Kluyveromyces lactis: one gene and its partners. The main gene of each other region encodes a partner of the protein of the gene in region 5 in a complex. Links are inferred from orthologs where the notes say so. Each region holds a gene or a part of one and is shown on either strand. Other genes may lie near its edges.

Region 1 (2,233 bases), about 620 kb from region 5:
TCGTGAATTTGCCGCATGCAATAACCGTGACACTGAAGTTCTAACTGAGGAGCTAGCATTGGAAAACATGGGGAAAAGAATTACAAAGATCTATGAAAATCTACCTTCATCAGCTATGCTACTAATCTGTTCAGGTACTGGTGATACAAGAGAATGGATCAAAATAATGAGTGAGTTGAACAAACTTGATAAGGAAGACCGTGCAGTGGAAAAATCCAAACGTGAAGCAGAAATACAGGCTTCGATTAAAACCGCTCGCGATGCCATCTCATTTATGACTATCAAAACCAACAACGTGAATAATGAAAGCCAATAGTTTTATATAGTAATGTCTCAAACGCACACATACGTCCTATGTGGAGAACAAAAGCGGTGATGGTTTTTCCTGCTTGCCCTCCTTTGGATGAAGGACTGTCTTTATCTTATTCGAGAGTGGGCGTCCAGGCCACATTCTGGATTCCATGAATCGTAGTAAAATTACAGTATATAGGTGTAATCGTTATATAATGAATCATTCCATCTTTACGTCGCCTTCTTGGTCTTTTACCTCTGCCGGTGTATCTTCAGCCGGAGTTTCTTCCGCTGGAGTTTCAACCACAGGAGTTTCAACAGCAGCTTCACTCTCGGCTTCTTTCTTAGCATCCGATCCTGAGAACCCAGGAATGTCAGAACCACCAACAGCTCCTCTTATATCGTTAATTGAGAGTGAATCTGGGCCACTTTTCTCCTGGACACGAGCATTTTTCTTAGCTATCTTCGTCCTATCAAATTCATCTAAGTTAAGAACATCTGTATCATCCTCAACTACATCTCTCAAAGGATGATCTTTTTTTACCCATTGCTTGAACTTATATTTTACCTTCTCATCAGTACCATTTTCATTTTGTTTAGCAGTAGTGGACCATTCGTATTCCCAATGCTTTGCATCGGTCGTGAAACCTCCAAGACGATTTGCCCTACTTATCAAAGACATTCTCACTTTCTGTTAAGTATATGGCTCAGTGTGTAAATTTGCTGAAATAATTGGCCGAGTTAGTCGATCTAACACCTAAAAGATTGTCGCATTGTACCTTTAGATCTCTGCTCGCACTGTTAAGCTTTAAGCTCTTGATGTTTGGCTTTAATTTCATGTTGGCAGAATTATCAACAAAAATTGACCTTAAATGGGATAAAATGGTCGATTAATAGGTCAGCGAACCACTTATTGAAACGAAAAGCCAGTAAATGAGATGAGTGCATGCTACACATTGCATATAACCTTGTTAATTCGAGTGAAGTGGCCAATCTGGGCCATGATAGTGGTTTATGTTACATGGATTGCACTGAAATTACGTTACCCGGTCTCTGGATTGATCCCTCAATATCAAAATCTAAACAAAGTTGAAGAGCTGATATGTACATTTCAGTAAAGAGTGCTCGAAGTCATAAAAAGGGTGGTTAAATAGGTTCATTCAACTCTGTGAGCCAATATTTCTGTCAATAACAGAATTCTAATCTGATTCCAGTCATAATACACCCATTTTTGCGAAATGCCTAGGGTTGCTGGAAGCTCAGGAAGCAAGAAACAAGGCAAGGCAAAGAAGGATTTCAGCAATGAAGATGATGCGTATAACGCTCTATTTGGTGGTGAGTTTGGGGCATTAGATATTAGTAATTATACTAGTGGTGGCGGCAATGGTAAGCAAGATGAAACAGAGCATCTGCCGAATGCTATTGATTTTGAAGATGAAGATGAATTGGCAGATGAAGAATTACCGGAGGAAGAAGAGCCATCCCATTCTCCGAACAGGCATAATGAAGGGTCGTTTCAGCGGAGTCTGACTGAAGACGACGAATATATGACTCTGATGGACCATGGTGATGTGATGCATGAAGTTGACGCTGCTGGATTTGAAGTACAAGGTAATAATGCATTGTTCATGGAGAGCACATATCAGTCATTTGGTCCAGAACAACACCAATTTAACGAATATGATGAGCAACACAGGAGGTTAATGGAGGAACAGCGAAGGAAACAAGAGGAACAAAATGCGAAGGAAGAACAGTTATTATTTCAGTCTTATTTCCCTGAGCTAAAGCCGGGTAGAGTCCTAAGAATGACCAAGATAGCTCCAAAACCGTTGGCGAAGTATCAATGGCAAAGGGAGTTATACCTTCGAAACAGAATTTTAAAACCTCTCATACCCATTAAAGTGAAGTTTCAAGTTCAAAAGGATACAAAAAAATTGTTCAA
Region 2 (3,264 bases), on a different chromosome or scaffold from region 5:
CCAATTCTTCCAAATCGGTTTCGTCATCCCATGGCTTAACATCCAAGGTAACGATAGACTTAGCAGCAGCCTTTGGCTTAGCAGCCTTCTTTTCGTTGTATTCAGCGATTCTCTTAGCCTTCAATTGTTCAGCTTCTTCATCGACATCATCGTCAGAACCGAACAAATCGACTTCGTCATCGTCATCTTCTTCTTCAGCAGCAGCTGGTGTAGAAGTAGCAGCTGGCAAGGATTCGAATTGATCAGCCTTGGAAGCAATGTGGTTGAACCATCTAGAGAATTCTGGGTAAGTAGATTGGAAAGCCTTGAAAGCAGAGACGTCAGCTTGAGTAGCAGAGGTACTATATTGATGCAATTGTTAGTTAGTAAAATGGAAAGAACAAAAAAATGAAATTTTTTTGTATGGCAGCTAAGCTTGCTTGCTGAAAAGAGAATTCAATAAAAAAGATAAATCAGAATCGTACTGTCTAGGTACTGTCTCTTTGTCACTCATACCGGGGGTCTTACTTCCCGTCATAAACACGGACCAAAGAATTTGTTCATCATTGAAATAGTAAACTTTGAAGAATTCTCTTATTCAAAAAACTGCTTGATGCCATTGGAAAACCACCACTATAATTATTTCACATACCCTTCAATGTAAGACTTGTCAGCCAAGAAAGTGTTCAACTTTTGCAAGGTTTCGACCTTGGAGAAATCAGAGAAAGACATCGTTAATGGATAGTTAAACCTGGTGAGAGAAGAAACTAGGAAAGAATCAATTCCTCTTCTTCTTCTTACAAGGAACGTTGAATCAAATTGACGAAAAAAAAATACTGAAAAGCTGATGAAAAACTCTAATTCGAAAAGTTCCAATATATATATATATATATTTATGAGATATATGATATGTAAGACGTATGTACTATGGAATTATGGCATCTACGTGTATTCAAAGTGCATGCAATGTGCGGTGGAAGAAAATTTTTTTTCTTCCTTGTAAGTGCGATGAGATAGATACTGGAAAGGCAACAGCAGAAAACAGGGCACGCTGCGGCGTGCCCTGCGACAATTTGAGAAAAACCAAGTTTATTTTCAAAAATCATGGGTCCACCCCTTTGAAAAACGATTTTGCCATAGTAAATGGTTCCAAAACGGTACGGATTTTTCTGAGAAAGTGTTCTTTTTTTCATTTTTTTCAAACTGGATTCCTTTTCTTTTGACAAGTGAAATGTTTACTCAGGGTAACACTTAGATTGTTCAATCAACTCATCACTGTATACGAATATGAAAAAGTATCCATCAATTCAAGAATAGAAGTGCAAGTTCGTGTTTTAGGGCTGGTTGAATAAAGACTATGATAGTGTTACTACAAACAAACGGTTTACTCATTGAAGCGTGCTGATATACAGCAGACAAAGCAACTACGACCTGCCTCCCAAAATTGTATTGATATGTCGCTCGTACCGCAAGCCTACTTGAGTAACTTCCATAATAGAGTGAAGAACGAGGATGTTCCGTTGTTTACTGCTGCGCAGTTATCGAGAAACAAGAGGGGTAAACAGGTGAACTACGCTGAGTTCGATACGGATCTCTTGGATGAATTCATCGACAAGAACGATGAGGATGATTTGGAGGATGATGTGGACGATTCGGATGGTCGTCGTAGGGGTGGGGACTACTATGATCAAGTAGACGGTAGTGATGGAGGTGCTGCGGCTGCTGCCGCCACCGCCGCCGCAGCGGCGGGACTCGGTGAAGATGGTGGCATTGGTGAGGGCACGCCCGGGTCTGGTGACCCCGGTGCTGTCACTGGCGGAACGCCGGCTGCAGATACTGGGCCAGACGGTACAAACGATGGTACTGCAGGAACGTCAAATCCTAGCTCAGAATTGGATCGCATCAAACTAAACGACTTGCCCGACCTTGAAAGTCAGGATGATTCTGCCACTCCGCTAGCTTTGTTGAAATATCCTAGGATTAGGGAAACTTTCGTGCAAAGTAGGATCGCTATCAGTTATAAAGACCTTCTTGGAGATTCTATCCAGGATCCGCAGCAAGTGGATATAGAAAGCCCGATAATGGTTCCAATACGGTTAAACGTTGAATTCAGTGGACACAAGTTAGCAGATTTTTTCATGTGGAATTTGAACGACCATTCGATGACTCCAGAACAGTTTGCTACGATCTTGTGCCAGGATCTTGATTTCCCAGTGCTTTCCAACCCAAATAATTCCCCATATACACAGATTATCTCTATGATTAACGAACAATTACAAGAATATGAAACATTGGCATCTTTACAGGTTCCTGATTTACACGTGATAATAAATTTGACTGCAAATCTCGATTCCAAGCTTTATGATGACACTTTTGAATGGAACCTTAATGACGATTCATTATGCCCAGAACAATTCGCAGAATTGGTGGTACAGGACCTGGGCTTGCAAAGAGAGTTCGTTCCTGCCATTGCACATTCGTTGCATGAATCCTTGCTAAAGGTAAAGAAGGATTGGCTCGAAGGTAATTTGAATTTGGCCCATGTAGAAAATAAGGCAGCTTTCGGTTACACATCAGGTATCCGTCTAGATATAGATACACTTGGCGCCTCATGGTTCCCTAAGGTAGAAGTCCTCTCACAATGGGAAATCGAAAAGCGTGAAATTGAAAAGGAGAGAAACATGAGAAGATTAAAGAGAGAAAGTGCCAAGGTCGATGACGGAAGATCCAGAAGAAGAGGCAAGAGGAGAATGGATGACTTGGAAACTACTTTGAGAATATAAGTGTGTTCTCTTTTCCGGCCAAGCAGTTTAACTTCACAGACGCCCATTAGACAAAGCTGTATAGAAAATAAAGTTCTCCATCTATTCGTGGAGATTTATGTATCATTAATGTATTAATACCACCGTCATCTGTGGTTTTGCACAAATACTCTTCCTTTTCGTCAGACTATTATTTATTTAGTCGCCAAAAATCTCCACAACAAATAGAAAAAGATCAAAGATCATCGCGAATCAGTAATGCGTACGCTGGGAATAATAAAAAGTACATACCCGAAATCCTTATTACTTCAATTACTATGCTCCACGAAGTATTATACAAGCATTTAGACGGCATTTTAGTCTCACGTTTGTATACTGAGGATCAGTTTGTTGATCTATTTTCTAGAACGATACCGGAATCCAACACTGTGATCGCGTCACAGTTATACAAAAGTTATGAAGAGAATGATCAACGGATCATTGAAAAAATAGATAAACTCATCGACAACAAGCTGTCTTTGAT
Region 3 (3,049 bases), on a different chromosome or scaffold from region 5:
CCATCGTAACATTGACGCTTGATGGGACCTTGAGCATTTTGTCTCTAAATGATCATACCATCAAATTCATTCATGGTCACAACAAGGGGATTACTTCTTTGGCGGTAAACCCATTAGTGTCTGGGTCATACGATGGTAGAGTTGTTACCTGGAATTCAGAAGGTGACGAAGTCAATGCTATTAGCCATGATATTCATGGTAATCTCGTATTGGCCATCGATAACTCTGATAACGAGGTATCGAGTGTTTCTTGGGACGAAACGTTGAAGAATTTCATCGATGGTGAAAAAGCGCTTGCTGAAACGAAGTACCAATTCTCAGAGCAACCTAAATGTGCGGTTTTCTCTCATAACACTTTGGCTGTTGCTACAAACACTAACGAATTGTTGATCATCGATAACAAGAGTGGGCTATTATCGAAATCGATAACTCTAGATAAACCTGTCGGGGCCCTCGCATTGGGAACTACTTTCGTGGCAGTGGCATACGAACAAACCAACTCCGTGCAGCTATTCAAAATTTCTGACCTATCAGATGCATTCACGTTGGCCACTCCATTACGTGCCACTCCATCTGCTCTTTCCTTCTCTCCATCACAAAAGTACTTGGCTGCCGGTGACGTGTCCGGTAAGATTATCCTATATGATCTTGACACGAAGGACGTCAAGACCTCGAGATGGTCATTCCACACAAGCAGAATTACATCCATTGACTGGAGACCTTCTGCAAATGATGATGATTTGGAGGAAGATTATGTTGTCACTGGCTCTCTGGACACCAACATCTTCATCTACTCTGTTAACAAACCTATGAAAGTGATAAAAAGATTAAACGCACAAAAGGACGGTGTGTCCAGTGTACTATGGGAAAACGATTCCACTATCGTCAGCGCCGGTGTGGACGCCTGTATCAAGAGGTGGACCGTCGAGTTTTGAATGAGACACATTTTTTACCAGTAACACATAAAAGTATTTAACAGTTAGTTAACGTACGAAATATAAGACAATGAATAACAATAGGAGGATCAGATGTTGCATCAAGGCCCCCCCCCCCAGAAATATCTAGAGCTTCTAGTAAAGCCGTTGAAGTTGTTCTTTCTTCTTTATCATCTCATACGTTTTGATGTTTCTCTTGAACATTGAACAGATTCCTGCCTCTCAAAGCTTATATATAAACAAACAAGATCAACAAAGCTCGGTTGAAAGCGGATATACGCATAACATTCCTTAGTAATTCTGTATTTGGAATCACCAATCAAGAAGCTTGAGTTTCTCCTATATCAGATATGGCAGCAGCAGGAAGAGGCAGGAAGAGCTCGAGGGTTTCTCGCTCAGCTAACAAAGCAACCAGCTATAAAATCGATACAGACGAGTTAGACATTGAAGATGATGAAAAGGATCAAGAGTACCCTGGACCAGCCAATGATGATGATTACGATGATGACCCAGATGCTGATATCGAAAACGAGGGTAAACCATCTCGTTCCAAGCGCAAGGCCGCTTCGAGCACACCTGTTCCAGTGGTACTAGCGACAAGAGGAAGGCCTTCAAAGAGGAAAAGAGAAGAAGATTTGAACGATCCCTTAAGACAGAAACTACCGTACCCAGTGGACGAAAACGGGTCTCCATACCCAATTGTGAATGACGAGTATTCATTACCTGAGGATCCAGAGGGTGAAACCAAGATCACCAAGAATGGTGATCTTCTAGAGGGAAGACAATTTGTAGTCAGAACTTTCACGGTACCTTCCAGAGGTGAAGTTAAATACATGCTTTCTACTGAGCCAGCCCGTGCCGTTGGGTTCAGAGACTCATACTTGTTCTTCCAGTACCATCCAAACCTATACAAATTGATTATCTCGCAATCAGAGAGAGACGATCTCATCAAAAATGGTGTATTGCCCTATTCGTACAGAAACAGAATCATTGCGCTAGTTACTGCAAGGAGTGTGTTCCGAGAATTCGGAGCCAAGGTTGTTGTAGATGGTAAAAACATCACGGATGATTATTACGCCGGTAAGCTTCGTGCATCCGGGAAGGTGAAAGAGGGTACCCCAGCAAGAGAAACATCACACACAAGTGTCACTGGAAGAAATACCCTTGGAATAGACATTCCGCAACAATTATCCGTCAACCCATCCAAAAATGCAGTAGAATTCTTTGACAAGAGAAATCACAACATCCCGGCAACAAGCAATATCTCATCTACGAACTGGCTCTATCATCATGCTGCTGCATGCAGTAGATTCAACAGTGATCTTTTCTACGATAGAGAACGCATTCTTCTCATCGAAAACCTCGGACTAAGAGATACGTACACGAACGTCTTACATATACCACAATCCACACAATCGACGAGAGTGATATCAGTGAAGAAAGTGAAAGGAAACACAAGCCAAGTTATGTACGAAACAAGAATCAAAGCTCTTGACCTAGCAAGACCTTGCACCGGTCTTTCTGACGTCCCTACATCGATGTACGAAGACATCTTGGACGAAGATATAGTCGCTGCTATAGAAGAACAAAAGAGATTCGAAACAAGCCTATAACATAGCTGAACTGACCTCCCATGTATACGTGTATATCTCAACATACGTAATAAGAGTGTATTATACTAAGTGGCCGGGTAACGATATGTCCTTGCTCTACCAAAAATGAATTTGGGCTTTTCAACCAGAACAACCCCATAAGGTGAACAGACAAGGCCATTTGCCACCGATAAAAGGAGCGTTAGCAGTTACATTTGCAATCTACAGTGGTTGCATTGTGAATTTAAGACCCTATAGTAGTGTAAAATAGCCAGGTGTTTGTTGAAACGGCTGTTTTTGTCTCGGTTTGTTTCGGTGTTAACAAAGATTTTCCACTGGTTTTAAATTCGAAAAGTCCTGTTAGGTAAACGGTATAGCAATCAGACTCGGCTAACCGTAGCAGCGACGTGGTGGTTTTATTACATTGAAGTGACTTGCAATGTTCCATTTAATAAGGCCGGTATCTAGGCTTGGCGTAAAGTCTGTGGCCAGTAGGGCGTTGTACAAAGTTCCAAAGGGGCG
Region 4 (3,678 bases), on a different chromosome or scaffold from region 5:
ACTCGACAGTAATGAAAGAATCACTGATGATGGTAAAGCAATGAGTTTGTTTCCGCTAAGTCCAAGATTTTCTAAAATGCTGCTTGTTGGTAATGAAAGCGACTGTTTGAAATATGTTGTTACCATTGTCAGTGCCCTTTCAGTAGGTGAGCCGTTTTTATCTGAACAAGAGCTTGGTATCATGGATACTGTGCCCAAGACACAAGATGAAGGACAATTAGATGACTATCCTGATCACGAAGCTGAGGAAAGAAAAAGGCTATTGCGCTCCAAGTATGTTAAAAGCAAAATTAGATTTAGTAAGCTTGATAAATTCAGTGATGTTTTCCGTCTTTTAAGTGCAGTATCTGCGTTGGATTTCATTCCAAAGGATCAGCACAGTTCTTTCATGGAAAAAAATTTCTTAAGGGCAAAAACCGTAGAGGAGATTATGAAGTTGAGAAAGCAGGTGATGTTCATCATCAGGTCAGTTACTTCGAGAGAAAATGTAGCTGTAAATGTTAAAGACGAAGACTTGAAGAGCTCGATCCCCACCGATGTTCAAATCAAATTACTCAAGCAAATGATCACAGCAGGATTTATCGACCAGGTGGCCGTTCGCGCAGACCAGTTATTCCCGGAAGACGTTACTATCAACAAAACCAACATTTTCAATATCCCTTATGTTCCAGTCCTTGCTGAGAAAACATCTTCTTTGGATGATATCTTTGTTTATATTCATCCAACCTCAATTCTCAACAATTCTGGCGAGCAACCTCCGAAATACTTGGTTTTCCAATCACTACATGTCAATAAAAATAATGAAAAGGCGAAAACAAGGATGAAGTCTCTTTGTGACATTAAAAGCACGCCATTGGCTAACGTTGCAAGAAAGGGCTCGTTACTCACTTACGGAAAACCAATCACTGGACAAGGTTTGAAACCTATTGATTTATCGCCAACAGAAAGATTCTGCTATGTTGTTCCTAGATTTGGATCTTGCAATGATAGCGACATCAAGATTGGTTGGGAACTCAATCCTATCCCTGTTCATCAAGAGAAAGAGAAAGGTGTATGGACGGTCAAGAAATTCCTTACTCCAAAAGCATTTAAAAACTATCAAGCTTCGAAAAGACCCTAGAACTACACCAGTACAATTTATAGAATTAATTAACTCATATAATACCAATTGCATTGGAATAATTAAAGGCCAATACCTAGCTTGTTAGGCTATGACTGGGTACTGTTGCTGTGACAGGAATCTCTGTAAAAGCTGTCAATGGATGCCAGTTGGATCATGATGTACGGTTTTGATGTTTTTCATAATGAAAACACAGGTTTTGGCGCAGGTTGATCAATAAAGGCTTCTTACATTACTGCTGAATGACAAACTGATGGGCAGTGAGAGAGTACAAGGTCTGCAAACTCTTTTATAGTGGGCTAAAAATAAGTAAACAATGGTAGAGCTGCTAAAAGAGAATTTTTTTCAGAACTTACTAACTGTTTTAAAAGGGTATGTGAATATAAAAACAACACATTTTTCATTCGAATTATGTTGCATTCGCACATGTTTTTGTCTAGAATCGGTGATAATAATAAATTAAAGACCAGCATACGATGACCTGGGGTTCCTCAAGTCTTTATTTTATGTTTTCAGTGTTAGATTTGCCAAAGCATGATTTTATTTTACAATCAAATACTAACAGTATTAATTTTATTTTGATTTAATTAGTGCATCTTCGAAATGCAGAGCTTTAGATGAAAGGTTTCCTAAAGAATTCTACGAGCCTGATCCAACACACATATACGATTCTTACGTGAAGTTTCTAAGGGCCAAGTTTGATGAAAATCCAGATATCAAAATAGCAGAAGATATTGATTCAATTTCCATATCTGATAAATTTGCTAGTGGAGATTACCAGAAGCATGAAGATTCTGTTTATCGGATTTACCATGATATTAAATTAGTATGCTCCATTTTAATTCACTACTACTCTCAAGGAACGAGGTCGTACCAAATGGTCGACAAATTCTACAAATTTGCAGCAGAATTGATTCTAAGGGAATGTTATAGAGTTGGAGCCAAACTGGTGGGAGACTTCGCGGCAGACATTGACTTCAAAGAAAGTGATTTTTCAAAAACCATTTCCAATGATTTCCTTAAAATTAGTCAAGTTTATCAGCTCCCCGTTACTGAAACTTACCATACGCAGACAAAGGAGGGACATTTGTTCAGTTCGGTGATAACGAGGTCAGTACTTGATCAGAGGCCAAAGGAAGTACCATACGAGGAATGTGAAATTGTGAAAATTATTCCTCAAGCAACATCCCAACCAGCCAATAGATTGGGATTCGTAGCAGCTAACACTTCCAATGTTCCTGATCCAACAATTTCTCCTACAGAAATCATGACCTCCTTTCTGCATCCGAATTGGTACCCGCTACCCACTACTAAATGGTTGGAGTATGGCGACTATCAATCTTTTGCTCCGAGTATCTCGGAGTTCAAGTCTGTAACAGATTGTTCCCGTAAAGGAGACATATGGTTGGAAAAGGTCGGATACAAAAGCTGGTTAGAAATAGAATCGAAGAAGAGAGGGGCTGCGGAAGCAGAAGATAAAAATGTTGAAGATGAAAAAATAAAGGATGAGGGTATTGAAGATCAAAAGGTTGAGGAAGCAAATGACAGTATCGGATCTGACAACCAAAAAAAGGAATCAAATGAAAATGATGAAGAGCAGAATGTTGCCACGGATGAAGAGCAAGATACAAATGAGGAGGGAGATGAAGTAATAGTGACAACGGAGCCAGCTGGACCTGTCAATATTAATTTGAAAAATCTTTATGACTGGCAACCTAGCCATGAGATACATGATGAAGATATAACGGCTTTTGAGCAAGGTGAACAGCAAAGGTTATTGACAGAGATATTGCTAAAGCTAAAGGCATGTAAATCGAGAAGGGTCAAGCTGAACAAGATATCAAAACCAACAAGTGAGGAAGTTTCCCTTTATCATAGAGCACAGAACATCTTGAAAGAAGCTCTACTTTCTAAACAGATTGTGACATCTCCAAAATTGCACGAGAAACATTTCCCAGTCCTTCAGACTAATTATGCCGGATCAGTTCCTGTCGTCAAGACCATATCGACTAGAAAAAAGAAAAGTAAGAAAGTTATGCAGTGAAGTAGATATTTCCGTATAGAATCTATAAATCGCAGCTGTGGTAGTGTGCAATAATCTGTGGGGCTAGTTTATTATCAGTGATAGCTAACGGTTACTATTATTTGGAGTTATTTTCTGAAACCATCAGTGTTTCGATTTTTTTACTTCCTCAATTACTTTCGAAGGTAAATGTCCAAGAACAATTAAAGATTATATAAAGAACAAAGAAATTAACCACAACAAAGGTACAAGAGAAGAGATCAACAAAGCAGATCCAATAAGTACAATTTACGAATTGATTATAGATTAAACAGAATCCATCAAAACTATATAAAATGCCTACTTAGACTTAAAAATGCACGTCCGCTCCCATGAGGTATGAAAATACAAGATAACAATTCAATGAACCAATTGTCAACCATATAACAAATGAACTGATGCTCAACAGTCTTCCATTGGTGTAGTCAATGGACTTAACGCCTTTCGATAATAATCTACTTTCTTCAGTACTGTCTGCAGATGCGGGTGCAGAATC
Region 5 (3,635 bases):
AGACAGCGGTTCTGCGGACTACCTTTCAGGATCAGATTCAATTCCACAGACATTTAATGAAAATCAACAGCAGCTTATCGTGCATGATAAGCAGACAGAAAAATTCTTTCAATATATTGTTGAGAGAGGACAACACATAGGTAAAAGAACTGCCGCTTTCCCAGGTTATTCCAGAAAATTCCTTTTTGAAGATATTATCCCAAGTAAGTTAAGTCAGGAAGAAGATGAAGAGATTATACCTGTTACTAAAAGAATTGCCTGTAATGCCTTTTTGTCGCTTTTACAATTGGCTACTTCGAGCAAGTTGAAAATTGATCTTTATAATGTAGAGCCTGAAAAGGTGTTCAGGGTACTAAATGGAGATGATATCATTGTATATTGCTAACTGGATCGAGTGAGAGTGTTTTTTTTTTAATAACTGACGTTCGGTTCTCTTGAGAGTGATTCTTCTTTCAAGCCCCATTTTTTGAGTAAATTTATAGTCTTCATATATTACACTGGAGCTACATAATAGCTAACTAAGGTAATACACTAATCCAGAATTTGGCTGTTTCCAAACGGTCGTTCTCTGAATCTCTTACAGAGAAAGTAACAGTGTTCAGACCTTCTGCCAACTTGATATCGTATCTTGCTTTACTTTCGTCGAATTTATCCCCATCTAATACTGGTATTGGGTTTACTTTATCCTTGTTTGCTATCAAAACTGCAGGGCTATCTTCTGAAACAGGAGAGCTTAATTGTGAAACCACAGTAATTGAATTTTGTTTTGGTGGTAGTGTAATAGCATATTCGTGGCTGGTTTGGGTGAGGGCACCATCTGCGAATATGTATTCGAACCAAGTGATATTGTCGGAATTCTGATACAGTCCCTTCAGTGGTCGTATTGATTGTTCATAAAAACTTCTAGAAGAAGAAATCTGAATCTTTTCTATCACTTTATAAGGCACTGGCTCTGTCTTTGGTTCAATGTTGTGCTTTTTTATAACAGGAAGGATGTTAAATTTCAAGGGAAGTGGTTTATCTGGTTCATTGTTTTCAACTTTCGAGTCTGCAGTTTTACTTGTTTTTGATGGTCCCAAAAGGTAATCTCTAGACATTGGGCCTCGATTATATCCATTTCCTAGTCCCTCTATATAATTGTATTCTTCGTTAGTTTCATCATCATCAGAAAGAATTGGTTCTTCCTCTTCTTCTTCTTGTACGAACTGTTTATATTCAATTTTGTCGTATTCCAGCGTGATTTCTCCTTTTTCTCTAGCAGTTTCTAATTCAGGGAAGAACCTTCTTTGGATCAATACACTAAAACATTTCATCAGCTTCAATGCATCGCTATATATTGTAGTATCTTCGTCATTGAAAACCAATGCGTTTTGAAACGTCAAATTAACATCGGTAATGAAATCGTAGATTTTGTGATAGTATCCAAGTTCTAAGTTATTTTTCACCAAGTTCAATGAGTTAGGTAAACGAATCACTTCTTCATATTCTGGATACTCATCTTTATCTACCAATTCAAGGAACGGTTGGCATATGTTTAAAGTGTCATCCAAGTTGTTGTTAGAAGCCGCTTCTAATTTTACGTCATCATCTTCTGCTAAGATTTCTGCCATCTGTTTATCTGTTACATTGAGTAAAGTGTCAAAGATTGCTATGAAACGTGTCTTCACATCATCGTTAACCAAGAAATTTCTTGTAGCATTTTTTACTTTCAACACTTCATTTTTGATGAAATATACCACTTGTTTCGCATTTTTAACAATAAGAGAATCTGGATCGTTATATGCAAGACAGTTCTTGTAGATCAGTTCACAATCCAATAAGAACTTGGTTTCCCCACCACTATATTCGTAATCCCTGCTTTTAATTTCGTTAATAGAGATCGGTTGATCAATTTTGTAATAGTACTGTGGATGAAACTTCCTACTGGGTAGTTTGATAAAGTGTTTGAATAAAGCCTTGTGAGCTTCAACTAAATTATCCAAAGTAAATGCGATGAACAAATTCAACTTAGGAATAGTCCAATCTAGATCTACAATGAGCTCTTCTGTAGGATCCAAAGGGTGCACATAATCCACTTTGGGTAGAGCGCCGCTTCTAGGACGTTTTCCTGGTGTATATCTTGGTACATAATTCTGTTTTGAATGCTTTTGTTCGGGTTCCTCACTGGGATCTTCTGATCTGCTTCTTTTCACAGCCATAGTATTTGGCGCTTTCCAGTTTGTTTATGCTTTTTTTTTTGCCTCCTCGCTTCCTTGGCTTCTTAAATGAACAAATTTCAGTATATATGCAGCAGTCAAGGCACTTACTCTAACCGTACCTAATTGGCTCCTTTGACAAACCAAAATCGTATACTGCGTATTGTTTTATATGTCTATTCTACAAAGTTTGTATATTTCAATGTTTTCAATAAAGAGAGTGAAAGTACCTTTACAAGATTGAGAAATGTTCAGACGTATATAGTGATATATCGCATTTCAACATTTGGTGAACCCATTTTGAGTGCGCTAATAGTGCAGAAACCTATTGCGTCACGATTCGATATTGGCGACCAATGGCTTGTTATATTCCACGGTAAGGTTTTTCACTAGGTTAGCGAAGTACTTTTTGTGAAATTCTTGAATCGCCTTCCTTGTGTCCTGTTTTATTTTCGAACTGGGAAGTACCGTTAAGGGTACGTCATGTAAAATTTCTCTTTGATCTTGCACATAGCTCGAACCTAAATCGTGTGAGGATGCTACGATACCGCTGTTGCTGATCATACCTATATCTATAAGCTTATCGTTCGTATTATTCACGATTTCGGTCAATTCAAGTTCTCTTGCAAGCACTCTTTCCTTCTGTCGTTGTTCCATTTCGTTATAATCTAATTGGGCTTGTGAGCCGTACCTGTCCTGTTCCTGCAATAACGGGTCATTTTCGTCGCTATCTTGACGAAAGCAGCAACTTAGCACATTTCCCATAATATTTTAAATGTTTTAGGCAGATTTTCGGTAGCTACTGATGCTAGAATTCGTTAGTAAACGTAAACTATCTCATTGCCTTGGTGGCTTTAAGGTAAAGGAACTACACTTACTATAGATGTTGATAAAAAGCACTGGGAAGCATAAATTTCATATTCTAGTATGTGGGTTGTGGGTGTTTTGAATAGGGTAACCCCGTCTTCTTTATCTATCGGGCTACATAGATAAGCAGCTTTTAGTTACTGAATACAGTGAACATCATGCAAACCAGGAAGTACGCACTTAACTCGACCCGTTGTTAAAGACCACTATGATGCAACTATCTATCGCTTCAGATCCTGTTTCTTTCTCTCTTTAGAACCTTCCCATATGGACTACATTCTTTCTATGCCCAATTGAAAAATTGAAAAATTTCATCTAAAAACTATAAACTTACAATTTGATGAAGATATTGTATATTAGAACATTAATTGAACGGTCAAGTTCTTGATGAGCTTAAGCACAGAAGTATCTTCTAGTGTTGTCTGATTTGGCGGTTGATATCAGTTCATTAAAGCGTGGTACTGTGCATATTTTTCAATCGAAAACAAAAAAGAATAATGATGCTAGCGTCTAGGTACGTGCCAGTAGTGCGTTCATCAAGACAATTCACTTCAAGTGCAGTGCGCTCTGATT

What was found.
Region 1: RSC4 (region 5) and RTT102 share a complex: the UniProt entries of both Saccharomyces cerevisiae proteins name them as parts of the two forms of the RSC complex. The link is inferred for Kluyveromyces lactis from reciprocal best matches to the Saccharomyces cerevisiae genes RSC4 and RTT102.
Region 2: RSC4 (region 5) and SFH1 share a complex: the UniProt entries of both Saccharomyces cerevisiae proteins name them as parts of the two forms of the RSC complex. The link is inferred for Kluyveromyces lactis from reciprocal best matches to the Saccharomyces cerevisiae genes RSC4 and SFH1.
Region 3: RSC4 (region 5) and NPL6 share a complex: the UniProt entries of both Saccharomyces cerevisiae proteins name them as parts of the two forms of the RSC complex. The link is inferred for Kluyveromyces lactis from reciprocal best matches to the Saccharomyces cerevisiae genes RSC4 and NPL6.
Region 4: the proteins of RSC4 (region 5) and RSC58 are in contact, whole or in part, in a cryo-EM structure (PDB 6K15), measured with the Saccharomyces cerevisiae proteins. The link is inferred for Kluyveromyces lactis from reciprocal best matches to the Saccharomyces cerevisiae genes RSC4 and RSC58. Residues at the interface, in NP_012933.4 of Saccharomyces cerevisiae: Leu364, Tyr377, Leu379, Asn380, Asn382, Lys385, Ser429, Met430, Gln431, Lys432, Glu433, Met434, Gln435, Ser436, Leu437, Ser438, His441, Met443, Tyr445, Lys446, Asn478, Trp481, Glu483, Tyr484, Phe486, Asn494, Glu495, Asn496, Ala497, Phe498; in NP_013133.1 of Saccharomyces cerevisiae: Ala169, Thr170, Glu171, Leu172, Ile175, Ile176, Asp179, Phe180, Ile181, Lys182, Ile183, Ser184, Met185, Asn186, Tyr187, Thr188, Val189, Pro190, Ile191, Gln193, Gln196, Asp203, Phe205, Lys216, Arg217, Pro218, His219, Ile228, Asn229, Asn230.

Annotation. Positions count from the first base shown.
Region 1 is NC_006037.1:881,550-883,782, reverse strand, and holds RTT102 (Rtt102p), read right to left. Parts: upstream 974-2,233; coding exon 512-973; downstream 1-511. Other genes in the region: RNH70 (Rnh70p), read left to right, coding at 1-316; TAF1 (histone acetyltransferase), read left to right, coding at 1,530-2,233. UniProt on the Saccharomyces cerevisiae protein: Probable component of the chromatin structure-remodeling complex (RSC) which is involved in transcription regulation and nucleosome positioning. RSC is responsible for the transfer of a histone octamer from a nucleosome core particle to naked DNA.
Region 2 is NC_006039.1:1,628,975-1,632,238, reverse strand, and holds SFH1 (Sfh1p), read left to right. Parts: upstream 1-1,433; coding exon 1,434-2,762; downstream 2,763-3,264. Other genes in the region: EFB1 (translation elongation factor 1 subunit beta), read right to left, coding at 1-341, 632-711; NKP2 (Nkp2p), read left to right, coding at 3,059-3,264. UniProt on the Saccharomyces cerevisiae protein: Component of the chromatin structure-remodeling complex (RSC), which is involved in transcription regulation and nucleosome positioning. RSC is responsible for the transfer of a histone octamer from a nucleosome core particle to naked DNA.
Region 3 is NC_006042.1:1,271,996-1,275,044, reverse strand, and holds NPL6 (Npl6p), read left to right. Parts: upstream 1-1,285; coding exon 1,286-2,548; downstream 2,549-3,049. Other genes in the region: AIP1 (Aip1p), read left to right, coding at 1-935; m-AAA protease subunit YTA12, read left to right, coding at 2,967-3,049. UniProt on the Saccharomyces cerevisiae protein: Component of the chromatin structure remodeling complex (RSC), which is involved in transcription regulation and nucleosome positioning. RSC is responsible for the transfer of a histone octamer from a nucleosome core particle to naked DNA.
Region 4 is NC_006042.1:1,593,523-1,597,200, reverse strand, and holds RSC58 (Rsc58p), read left to right. Parts: upstream 1-1,436; coding exon 1,437-1,492; intron 1,493-1,711; coding exon 1,712-3,164; downstream 3,165-3,678. Other genes in the region: ATP-dependent RNA helicase ECM16, read left to right, coding at 1-1,120; putative divalent metal ion transporter SMF3, read right to left, coding at 3,493-3,678. UniProt on the Saccharomyces cerevisiae protein: Component of the chromatin structure-remodeling complex (RSC), which is involved in transcription regulation and nucleosome positioning. RSC is responsible for the transfer of a histone octamer from a nucleosome core particle to naked DNA.
Region 5 is NC_006037.1:259,190-262,824, reverse strand, and holds RSC4 (Rsc4p), read right to left. Parts: upstream 2,199-3,635; coding exon 519-2,198; downstream 1-518. Other genes in the region: REC8 (Rec8p), read left to right, coding at 1-385; MEH1 (Meh1p), read right to left, coding at 2,529-2,960; mitochondrial 54S ribosomal protein mL50 MRPL13, read left to right, coding at 3,560-3,635. UniProt on the Saccharomyces cerevisiae protein: Component of the chromatin structure remodeling complex (RSC), which is involved in transcription regulation and nucleosome positioning. RSC is responsible for the transfer of a histone octamer from a nucleosome core particle to naked DNA.